Linked DNA regions of Schizosaccharomyces pombe. Changing the gene in region 3 together with the main gene of any one other region gives a genetic interaction. Each region holds a gene or a part of one and is shown on either strand. Other genes may lie near its edges.

Region 1 (2,984 bases), on a different chromosome or scaffold from region 3:
GTAGTAATAGTCAGAATTTATTGTGCTGATACACTTCAACTTACTTGATTAATAATTGAAAAAGAGAAATTTACAATTGAAATTGAAATGGATGGATTTGAAACAAACCATTCGTCAACATCACCGCTACTTTAAAAATGCTACTGTACTTGCGAGTATAACTACACAAAAGTACATATTTAAGCGATTGCATCAAGTAATGTCATATATAGAAATACAATAATATAAACGGAGCACAAACTGAACCTCGTTCTTGATATATCAAGTCTTCTTTATTGTACCATAATGTTGTATGTCGTTGTGCTATATTTTTTTGTAAGTTACAATCATACTGATTGGCATAGCTTCTGCTTTTAACTTAACGGTGATCAAGCCATATTTGATCAGGTTAGGCAGAATTCCAATGATTGCATTAGAAGGTTTAGATCTTCAAGTCAATTTTACGATTACAAGCAAAGGAGAAATAGCAATCAAGCCAGTATCGAATACTCATTACACGTATATAGCAAGATACTATGGAATTGTTATCGTGATATGAATCTTGATGGTGGATTATTATAGCCCTGGTGCAGATCACTAATATCGGTTTTCGAGTAAGAATGATTCTTGCTTTCTGACCTAGTGACTTTCTCAATAGAGAAAAGTATAATGACTTGAAATTTAGAAAACGTTCTAATGGAGTTAATGGAGTGAGTTCTAATGAAACGAGGAAAAAATTTGTTATGATATACTACGACGCATCCAAATGTAAAGGATCGGAATTTAGATGAAGCCGATGGTACTTCCGAGTAAATGTACCAACAATATAATAAATAAATCAGCAATTTTACTGCTAGACAATATTTCACTGTGAGGCTTAGTCTTGGTATAAATAGAGGGACTCTGTCAAAACAAATATTTTGAACTAGACTCGAATTCTTCATAATTCTATTCACTTGAGTGTTTATTTTTTTTAACAATGCCATTACATTTACGAGATATGTGGATATCCACTGACGATTATAAGGATGTTTTACTTACGTGTCCTGTGTGGTATGAAATTAGTGAAAGAGAATTAAATCATGCTGTTTGGGGACAATATTAAAATGGTGAAGTTATAATGAAACAGTTGTTGGAAGCGATTAGTTTCAAAAATTAGCGACTCGTATTTTGTTTATTATTATTATTATTATTTCTTTTTTTTTTATTCGCTGTTTTAAAATTGTTTCCAGCAATCTTCTTCCTATTCTCTTTTTATCCGTTTGACAACACATTTTGCTAATGCTTTTTTTTTTTTTTTAGTTCAAAGAAGACTGGTACGAGAAATAAACAAGTTGAGTAGTTTCGAAAGCAATTGGCTCTTTCTTTTTTTTTTTAAACTTGTCTTATTAATGTTAACATAACATTTTGTTTTTAGTCCGAGTATGTCGTCAGTTGAAAACCGTAACGGTTCTCATTGTGCCTGTTCTTCCGGTTTATACGAATAAGGTAAGAACATTCAAGAAAGCGTTTGATATGAAGTCTGTTCCATTATTGCTCTTAGTGCCTGACAAACGTTGTTAGTCTGTTTTGAGTTTACAAGTTTGTTAAGCTAATAGCCATTCATTGATCTTCATTGTTACATGCTTTCCATGGAATAGTTGGAGGTGTTTACTTTTCAACTTGTTAGCGATCGCTTGCTAACATTTTTAATAATAGGTACTTTGTTGTTCTCAGTGTGACTGGCACGAACCAGCAAATGTTTACTCGATTGAACAAAGGCGTAGTCATGATGATGATCTTCCTACCATTAAGGGTTCTGATGCTAGTACTCAACAGTATGAAAGAAAAACTTATATTACCGATGCTAGTCCCGAATCTCAGAATCTGTTTTTAAGCAAAAGTAAAGAGGAGGGAGTTATCTTCTTATGCATACAAGTAAGCTTTTAACCTTGATTCTATTTATTCACTTTTACCATTTACTACTTTCGCAAATTCCTGTTTTTTGTTGGGGATATGAAGGGGAATATAAGGGTAAAGTAGATGAAATGGATGTATTTGAAAGTTGATTTGGATTCGATTTATTACTTTGAATCCCCGTTTATTATTATACGTTTATGTCGTTTTAAAGAAAACCATGCGATGTACTATATTAATTTTGTAAAATATATATTATAGATAAAAAAATTGTTGGGAAAATGGGAAAGCAAGTTGAAAATAATTAAATTCAATAAATTAGCAAAATATGTTTATGAAGGTAACCAGTTTTTTCTTTTTATTTTTTTTTTGTCTATATGTCAGATTCGCAACTTTTAAGTTTGAACAAAACATTATTTCACATCGACTCAAAGGTTATGTGTATTTAAAACGTTCCAGTAAAAAAATATTCATTTGTAAAAAATAAATAGGTGGTATATTAAATAAGAATGAACTTACTACACAATTTCTGTGTAAAAAAGTGAGATTAAAATAACTGGATATTAATCCATTGATAAACAAATAATAAATAAAATAATCCCGGTAACCCCTTTAAAGGTGAATCAAGTAAACCATGGTTTTTGTTAAATCATTTTCTCTTGAGCCTCTTCAGCTACATTTCGATTGTAGGCAAGTGCTTCATTATGGGTGGGAAACATTATGTAACATGGAAAAGCAATTTTCTCCATAAAAGTGAAAAGATCACCAATGATCACCGACAGTCTGTAATCAAAGTTTCCAAATATAATATTCGACAGGTAATGCAACATTGGAGATGCACAGAATATAAAGATAAATGCATTTAGCATTCTTCTGAAAAATCTGGCTTTTGAAGCATTTTCGTAAGTTGTTACAGACGTGCATTGTTTCAATAAATGACAAATAGAATACACCCAAATTGCAGGAAATACCTCATACTGGATCATGTCAAAAATCTCTGATACTACATATACGTCTTTATATAAAGAAATCCAGTATACAGAACATAAAGCAATGACAATACTAATTCCTTTTATCATAAGATATTTAGGAACAGTTCTAGTTATGCC
Region 2 (3,676 bases), 4.1 Mb from region 3:
AGGTCCTGCTTTGGAACCATCGCAAGGAGCAAATGTTCACAAATCCGATTCTGAGTTGGATAATCAAAATCAGTCAGGAAAATCAAATCCTGATACTTCCGCGACTCCTTCTGCACCTACGGAGTCTACCACAGTTGCCACTAAATCTTCAGACAATCAATTATTGGATGTTGGAAATTCAACAGACATCGATGCGGCTCTTCTAAATGATTTTGACTTCGACAAATTTTTAAAAGATACTAGTACTGGTGACGATTTATGGTTTGGATTGTTTAATTTGCCGGATAATGAAGACTCGACTGCTGCTTAATTTTGTCGAAACTTAAGTATTTTATCCTTGTTTTTCTTCTTTTTTAATTTGTTTATTTGGAAATTATATACCAGATTTTTTCATCTTTTTTGAATGCGTTGCGTTTTGTCATTATAAAAATTTAATATATAATTAATTGCTAGTTGGATATGGATTAGTGTACTCGGTTATAAATACCGGCCTACATCTTGTACTTTATATCTAATAATCAAAATTATTTCATGTGCTTTGAATCATTCTTATATTTTTTATAACTAAACACATTTAGGTAGTACATTAGATTGGCGATTAATCAGCCCCTGCGAAAAGGCCCCTCGTACAAATTCGCTTCTTTATACTAACTAATTAAACAACAAATCATGAGGTTCGATCGCTTAATTAGTAATAAAGTGTCGACGATTTTTTTATTTTTTGCAATATACATCCAAATACTGCATAACTAAGTGTGCTAATTCTGATAAAAATCATTAACATCGCCTGTAAATTAATTCGTAAATTAGAAAATTAATTCTCTGCGAAAAACCATTAATCAAACCATTAAAATCGAGAAATAATTCAATGATTTCCTTTTCGGTTGAAATTAACAGCTATACCTTTCCGTCGTGCGTTTATCATTCGGAAATTCTAATTTCCCCATGTAATATTTTTTAAGCTTCCCCATAAACCAAAATTCTTATGTTGTTGTCGTACAGAATTGGTATGATCAAAAATTATGATTTTTCCGTAATTTGCAACATCAACGAAAAGATATTCCCATTTATAGTCACCTTGAACATTTACAAGTCTTCCAAATACGTGCCCTTTTCTCTCATTACCGATTAAGTGAAATTGTAGTACTAGATGTTCTACACCATGGTGATCCCACACACGACTAGTCAATATACCATGAGTTCGACGAAGAGGATGCGTGGCTTCACCTAGGGCTTTCATGTGATCTCCAAAAACATATCGACATTCTTCATTAGCCTTTAAAAGTTCAAAAGCTTCATCACCGTAATGTGCCTCGCCCTTCCAGATACTAGTGACAAGTGCATATATAATCAATCCGAAAACGCCGCCTCCAAATATCACAATCGAAAAATTTCCAATATTAGCAGAAGTTCTGTATGCTTTTTGAGGAGCCGTCAAATCCTTCCAAGCTTTGTTAGACGGATCTTTGAAAATTCGTGCCAGGCGCCCTTCTTCTTGTGGTTTCCGTTGTTTATTGAGAGAATCAGAAGCCAAAGAGTATAATCTCCTCTGAACCAAAGCTGAAGAAAACCTTGTAGCGCTCTGCCTTTGAATAGTACGAATCATCTAGTTGATACAAAAAGATGCAAAGAAGATGTATATAGTGACGAGGCTAAACGGCATAAAGGCAATGTCTAGTGAGCTCGACATAGGATGCAATGTAGTTCGTTAAATTTTTGAGCTTTAGCAGTGATATGGTTGTTACACCTCATTATTCCGTTAGTCAGGTAATTTAGTAAAAAGCATACTAAAATTTGAGAGTATTTAGCTTGAAAAGAAAGGAGTAATAATGCAACATCATGATTAAACAACGATATATTAAAAGTCAGGGTTATTTTAAAATGAACGAAAGCGAATTAGGTGGAAGATGATTTAGAAAATTTTCAGTCACTAATAAATTCAATAAACGCACGGTCAATTAATTTATTAAATTAATATATTAACAATCGAAGTAAAACCGTAATTGAAATCCTGAATGTTGATTTGCTGATTAAGAACAGCAATTAGTGCTTCGACGATTATTGTACAATATAAAATGAAAGTAAATAAATTTATCACATTGACTTTGTTACATTGTTTATATAAACCTTTAAAAATAGTTGAATATAGGAGAGGAAACTAGTAAAGTTTACAATTGCTAACCTGCTTCCCTTTAATCCACTCGAGTGATTCTCCTTGTAAACTACATTCTGGGGAAACATAGGTGCAGTCGCTTGGACTTAAGATACCACCATTCTTTAAAATCCAGCTTTTACCTAAACTCAAAATATCGTTTACACAAGTTTCATGGTTGTCATTGGGAGATTTACTTGAATTTTTTAGAGGACTAAATGAAGTCCTACGTGGTACCTGGAAACATCCAAAATTTTCAACTGACACACTGGGAAACAAATCGAAAATAAAACTCTCAAGTTTATATCCATTGGGATTTAAAGGTGTAGTATAATGATGAGACGTTACGTCGTAAAATGGAATTTTCTTGCATGCAAGGTGAATAGGAAGGGTACTTGAGTGCAAAGAAGCTTTCTGTAAGAAATCAAAAGAGAAATAATGGTATGCAATGTTAGCCGCACGAAGCAGCAAATGCTTGTGACCATCAACATTTTCTGTAGCTTTGCATGCTTCGTCAGAAATTTCAGAGTACTCTACAACACAAGGATGATTATGGGAAGATACAAGGAGACCCACTTTTTCAGCAGGATCGATTTTTTCAACAGTTTTAGTGGCAACCTCAAGTTTTTTAGTAGTAGCCATTCCTATGAATACAGGATCAACCGGCAAAACAAGAACATTGTCAACGCTATAAGCCGTAATATGGAGTATACCTCTTCTATTCATATCATTCAATGCACCAGAGGAAAGCAAAGCTTCATAAATACCTCCATTGCCGTTAGGAGCCCAAGCTAATGAAGAATCAGATTCAAAAAGGACCCTACCTGAGATATCTAGACAAGGTAAAACTCCTTGCTGGAAGAAAAAAACGTCTTTCTTATCAATACCAAAGAAATCATTCTCCTTAAAAAAAGAAATTGTCTCCTCTGACGTACATTCAGAAACCATTATATACCATGGAATGCTTATAGAGGCTTCTTGATCGGGAAATGCGGCTCTGGCGAGCGCCAACGATTTCTTAATTTTTTGTGCCTGCAGCTCAAAGATGCTCGGATTATTAGGCAGCCCAAGTCTAAAGCAACCTTTTGGACCAGCAAACCCAAGTCGAGTGCCTTGACCTCCTGCCAATACTAAGGCAGCTACATGACCTCTAGCAATTTCCCGAAGACCTGTTCTCCACCAACTTGAGTCAGACGTATCTACAATAGATAGTGGACCAACTTCTGAAGGGGACAATTTTCTGTTCTCTTGGCTTGTCGCTTTAGCATTTCGATACTTCAACCACAATGACCGTAAGTCCAATTGCTGAACTTGATTTAAAAGTTTCCTAAACTTTTGCAGGTCATTCTTTTTTAAATAATTCAATTGATCATACAAATGTAACTGATTAGTTTCTTCAAATATAGACCGATCAAACAATTCTTTGTCGTCCATTTCGTATTTAGCGTTATAAATACAGTCTAAAAAAAAAAAATGAATGTTTGGCAAACTTGAATCGCTAAAAAAATGCTATTTACGCTTCTT
Region 3 (3,382 bases):
AAATTCTTGTAAGCCAAATGCGCATTGCTGGAAATTCTGCTATTGGTAATCCGGCTGTTAAAGACAGGATCAACAAGATCGTATGGAAAAATGGTAACCCTGATCGCTTATATTCTCTGCATGAAAATGGCATGGTGCGAGTGTTCGATGTAAAGAGTGAGGAATTGCTTGCAGAGAAATCGATTAGCAAAGTCTCTTTGACTGGTATTGCGTTTGCTGTAAATCGTCCGGAATTCGCGATTAGTGCATCTGATGGAAGAGTCTTTTTCTTGAGGCAGGACGATAAACTTTCAACTCTCGAAAGCTTACCTAGCAGAGAAGCTCAAGAGGAAATTACTGATTTATCAGATATTCTTTGGATCAACTCACCCGTCGATAAGTTGGAGCATTTGATTGTGGGCTGTAAAGAGCGAATTTCTGTTTACGACCGCAAATATTTACCATAAAGCACTAACAAAGATAAACGAATACAGGAAGATTTCCCTCTTTTTATGAAACTTCCAACTTTTCTAATCAAAATGAGTTATTTGTTAAAAAATAATGATTTACGATTTCTAACCGTAATGAACCAAAAATCTACACCGTTGCTGGAGCTATATTTGTATTAGATATACGGCAACTATTTAATCTAATCTCAACGTTACTAAAATAAGAACAACACTAACTTGGACCATCAACTTGTATAAAATTGTGTAGTGATCATATTTGAATGTATCTTCAGGGTTGAAGCACATTGTAGCAAGACATAAAAAAGTGTAATTTCATCATGAATCATATAGCAATAGGCATGTAGACTATCCTCCAAATTTGACAATGAGCGTAGACAATTTGTCAACTAAGGTTCAGAATCAGTGATTACAGCAAAGGCTTTGTCAACACTGACAAGAGGTGATATGTCAATTTCCTTCACTATGCATTTGCCAGTACCTTTCTCAAAGATCCAATGGCTTCTAAACAGCTTTCCACCACCAGGCTTCTCAGCGCCTAACTTTTTAATTAGCTCACCTTTAGGATCCGAAAGCAAATGATAAGGAAAGTTTTGCTTATCCTTGAAAGCTTTTTGAGCTTTGCTAGTATCGAAAGACAACCCTAAAACTTCATAATCAGAGGCCTGTATCTTAGGATAGTTATCACGAAAACCACAACCTTGTTTCGTGCAGCCAGGAGTACTAGCTTTTGGGTAGGCAAAAATTACAAGCCCTTTATTTGCAGTAATATCGCGAAGTCGAATGGAAGTTCCATCTTCGTCAGGCAAAGTGATATCGGGAATTACGTCTCCCACTTGAATAGTTGAATCAACTGATTCATCTTTTGCAGGCTTTTTCAGCATTACTGGAGCAGCTTCAGGAATAATCGTTCCTTTGCTATCCAAGACGTTTGCAATCTTGGCTGCCAATCTGCTAGATCTTCTGGGGGCGTCCATTGACAGGCTTAAAGTGTGCAAGAAAAATGCTAGAGGGGAAGGAGAAAGGTTGATGCAGAGCTGCAGTATATAAATTTATATTCTAAACAACACCTGTAAAACCAAAAACGTTGGTGTCAATGCTGATCAGTATTAAATCGCTTTAACTTGTAAAGGCTAGATAAAATGATCAAAGTAGTGAAACTCTGTTCAGGATGAAGTACTCTGAACTTTTTACTACTCAACTTTCAGAATTTCGGTACCAAAATAAAAACAATTTTACAATAACACCTGAGATTTTCTTTCTGGTGTAGGAAGAAAGTACAGGTAGTGAAGAATCACGACATAAATATTACCAATTTGTTAGCTTCGCTTTGATATTACTTTACAACATTACCAATGTGATCCCGTAAAATCGTATTTAGCGTATTTAGCTGACCTTTCAAACGATCGATAGGGAACCGATCTTCCCCTGCTTATACAATCGGAATAGCTTTGCATCCTACTATGACTAAAGAATGTTTTCTTTCATAAAATTTCTAGTCAAATCATTATTAACATGGTGTCGTTTTTACTAGTATGGCTTTAAAAAATGGTCTTTCGTAAACTGTAACAGCATTTTCTCTGATTGTCCGTCTCGACAGCGTTACAGAAATATAAATAAAATAACAATTAATTTATTAACAAATTTCAAATATCTTTTGTTCGTCAATTGTAGAACGGATCCATCAGCTAGGAACTGATTTGCATGCAATGTCAATGTAGCAATCGTAGTAAAGATTCTAAGGAAGTAAGCCAAGACTATAAAACATGATGTTAGCAAGCGAGGCTATCGTCTTTATTAAACTAACATTGCATTTTTTTTATAAAAAGGCTAAAAACATTGCATCGACCGGGAGTCGAACCCGGAGCTAATGCTTGGAAGGCATTGATGTTACCGCTACACCATCGATGCTTGGATGAAGAGGTAAAATAATAGACATATATTACTTTAAAATTAAACTTGTATCGAAGTATTAGCAACTGGTTCTACATTATGAAAATAACCCAAAAACAATCCAAACTGTTTGGCTAATAATGTGTCTATTTATTATACATTAAATAGTTGAAATTATGGTATACTGCCTACTATGCTTGTAATATACTATAAATGTGTAATGTATAATAAAATGGGCATGTGGTGTAGATGGTTATCACGCTTCCTTAGCATGGAAGAGGTCCCAGATTCGAGTTCTGGCTTGTCCAAGTTTTTTTTTGTTTTTTACGTTTGTTGATTCAAACTATATAGAAACGCGTTTACGCAGAGAACATGTTTTCAAATGATTGCGAGCCATCGTCTACCCTATAGCCGTATGGAATTATCAATTTTATTACAACGAAGGGTCGTAGCGGAGAAAGTATATTAATGCATTGTAAATTCATTTCATATAAAATTAATTATTATACCATGACCAAAGGTCTTCTAACATAAGTATATCCAAATTATCTGAAACATTATAACTGATAAAGAGGAATTTCGTTAACTTGCGTACATTCAAGGAAGGGCCGCAACTGTAGATGTAATGGTTTTGCTAAGAGCCTCCACTAGTTCATCTATTTGCTCGCGAGTGATAATATACGGAGGAGCCAGCAATACGTGGTCTCCTCTGGTGCCATCAATTGTACCCATGCCTGGATAAACGAAAACACCATGCTCGCAACCTATTTTGTTGGCGAGAGAACCAACTTTGTATTCAGGAGGGAAACATTCCTTGGTAGCTTTGTCTTTAACGATCTCGAGTCCCCAAAACAAACCGCGGCCTCGAATATTTCCCACGTTGGGATGAGAGTCAAAAGTCTCATGTAATTTTTCCGAAAGGTATTTACCCATTTCTGCTGCCCTTTCAACAAGATGATCTCGTCTTAAAATAGTTTGCACCGCCAGGGCAGCAGAACAAGCAATTGGGTGGGCTTGATATGTAAAAAAACCAGCCATGGCAG

The links. A genetic interaction does not mean that the proteins touch.
Region 1: mutations in bcp1 (region 3) and ftm3 together harm fitness more than expected from each alone (negative genetic interaction), as found in Schizosaccharomyces pombe (one large-scale study listed by BioGRID).
Region 2: mutations in bcp1 (region 3) and tim21 together harm fitness more than expected from each alone (negative genetic interaction), as found in Schizosaccharomyces pombe (one large-scale study listed by BioGRID).

What each region holds. Positions count from the first base shown.
Region 1 is NC_003424.3:5,563,687-5,566,670, forward strand, and holds ftm3 (transmembrane helix domain-containing protein), read right to left. Parts: upstream 966-2,984; coding exon 525-965; downstream 1-524. Other genes in the region: ftm4 (transmembrane helix domain-containing protein), read right to left, coding at 2,520-2,984.
Region 2 is NC_003423.3:4,397,250-4,400,925, reverse strand, and holds tim21 (TIM23 translocase complex subunit Tim21), read right to left. Parts: upstream 1,628-3,676; 5' UTR 1,607-1,627; coding exon 935-1,606; 3' UTR 525-934; downstream 1-524. Other genes in the region: adn2 (transcription factor), read left to right, coding at 1-310; uap1 (UDP-N-acetylglucosamine diphosphorylase Uap1/Qri1(predicted)), read right to left, coding at 2,159-3,586. UniProt on the Schizosaccharomyces pombe protein: Essential component of the TIM23 complex, a complex that mediates the translocation of transit peptide-containing proteins across the mitochondrial inner membrane. Required to keep the TOM and the TIM23 complexes in close contact.
Region 3 is NC_003423.3:283,103-286,484, forward strand, and holds bcp1 (thioredoxin peroxidase), read right to left. Parts: upstream 1,715-3,382; 5' UTR 1,424-1,714; coding exon 836-1,423; 3' UTR 501-835; downstream 1-500. Other genes in the region: csc3 (WD repeat-containing protein), read left to right, coding at 1-446; SPOM_SPBC1773.03C (aminotransferase), read right to left, coding at 2,937-3,382. UniProt on the Schizosaccharomyces pombe protein: Thiol-specific peroxidase that catalyzes the reduction of hydrogen peroxide and organic hydroperoxides to water and alcohols, respectively.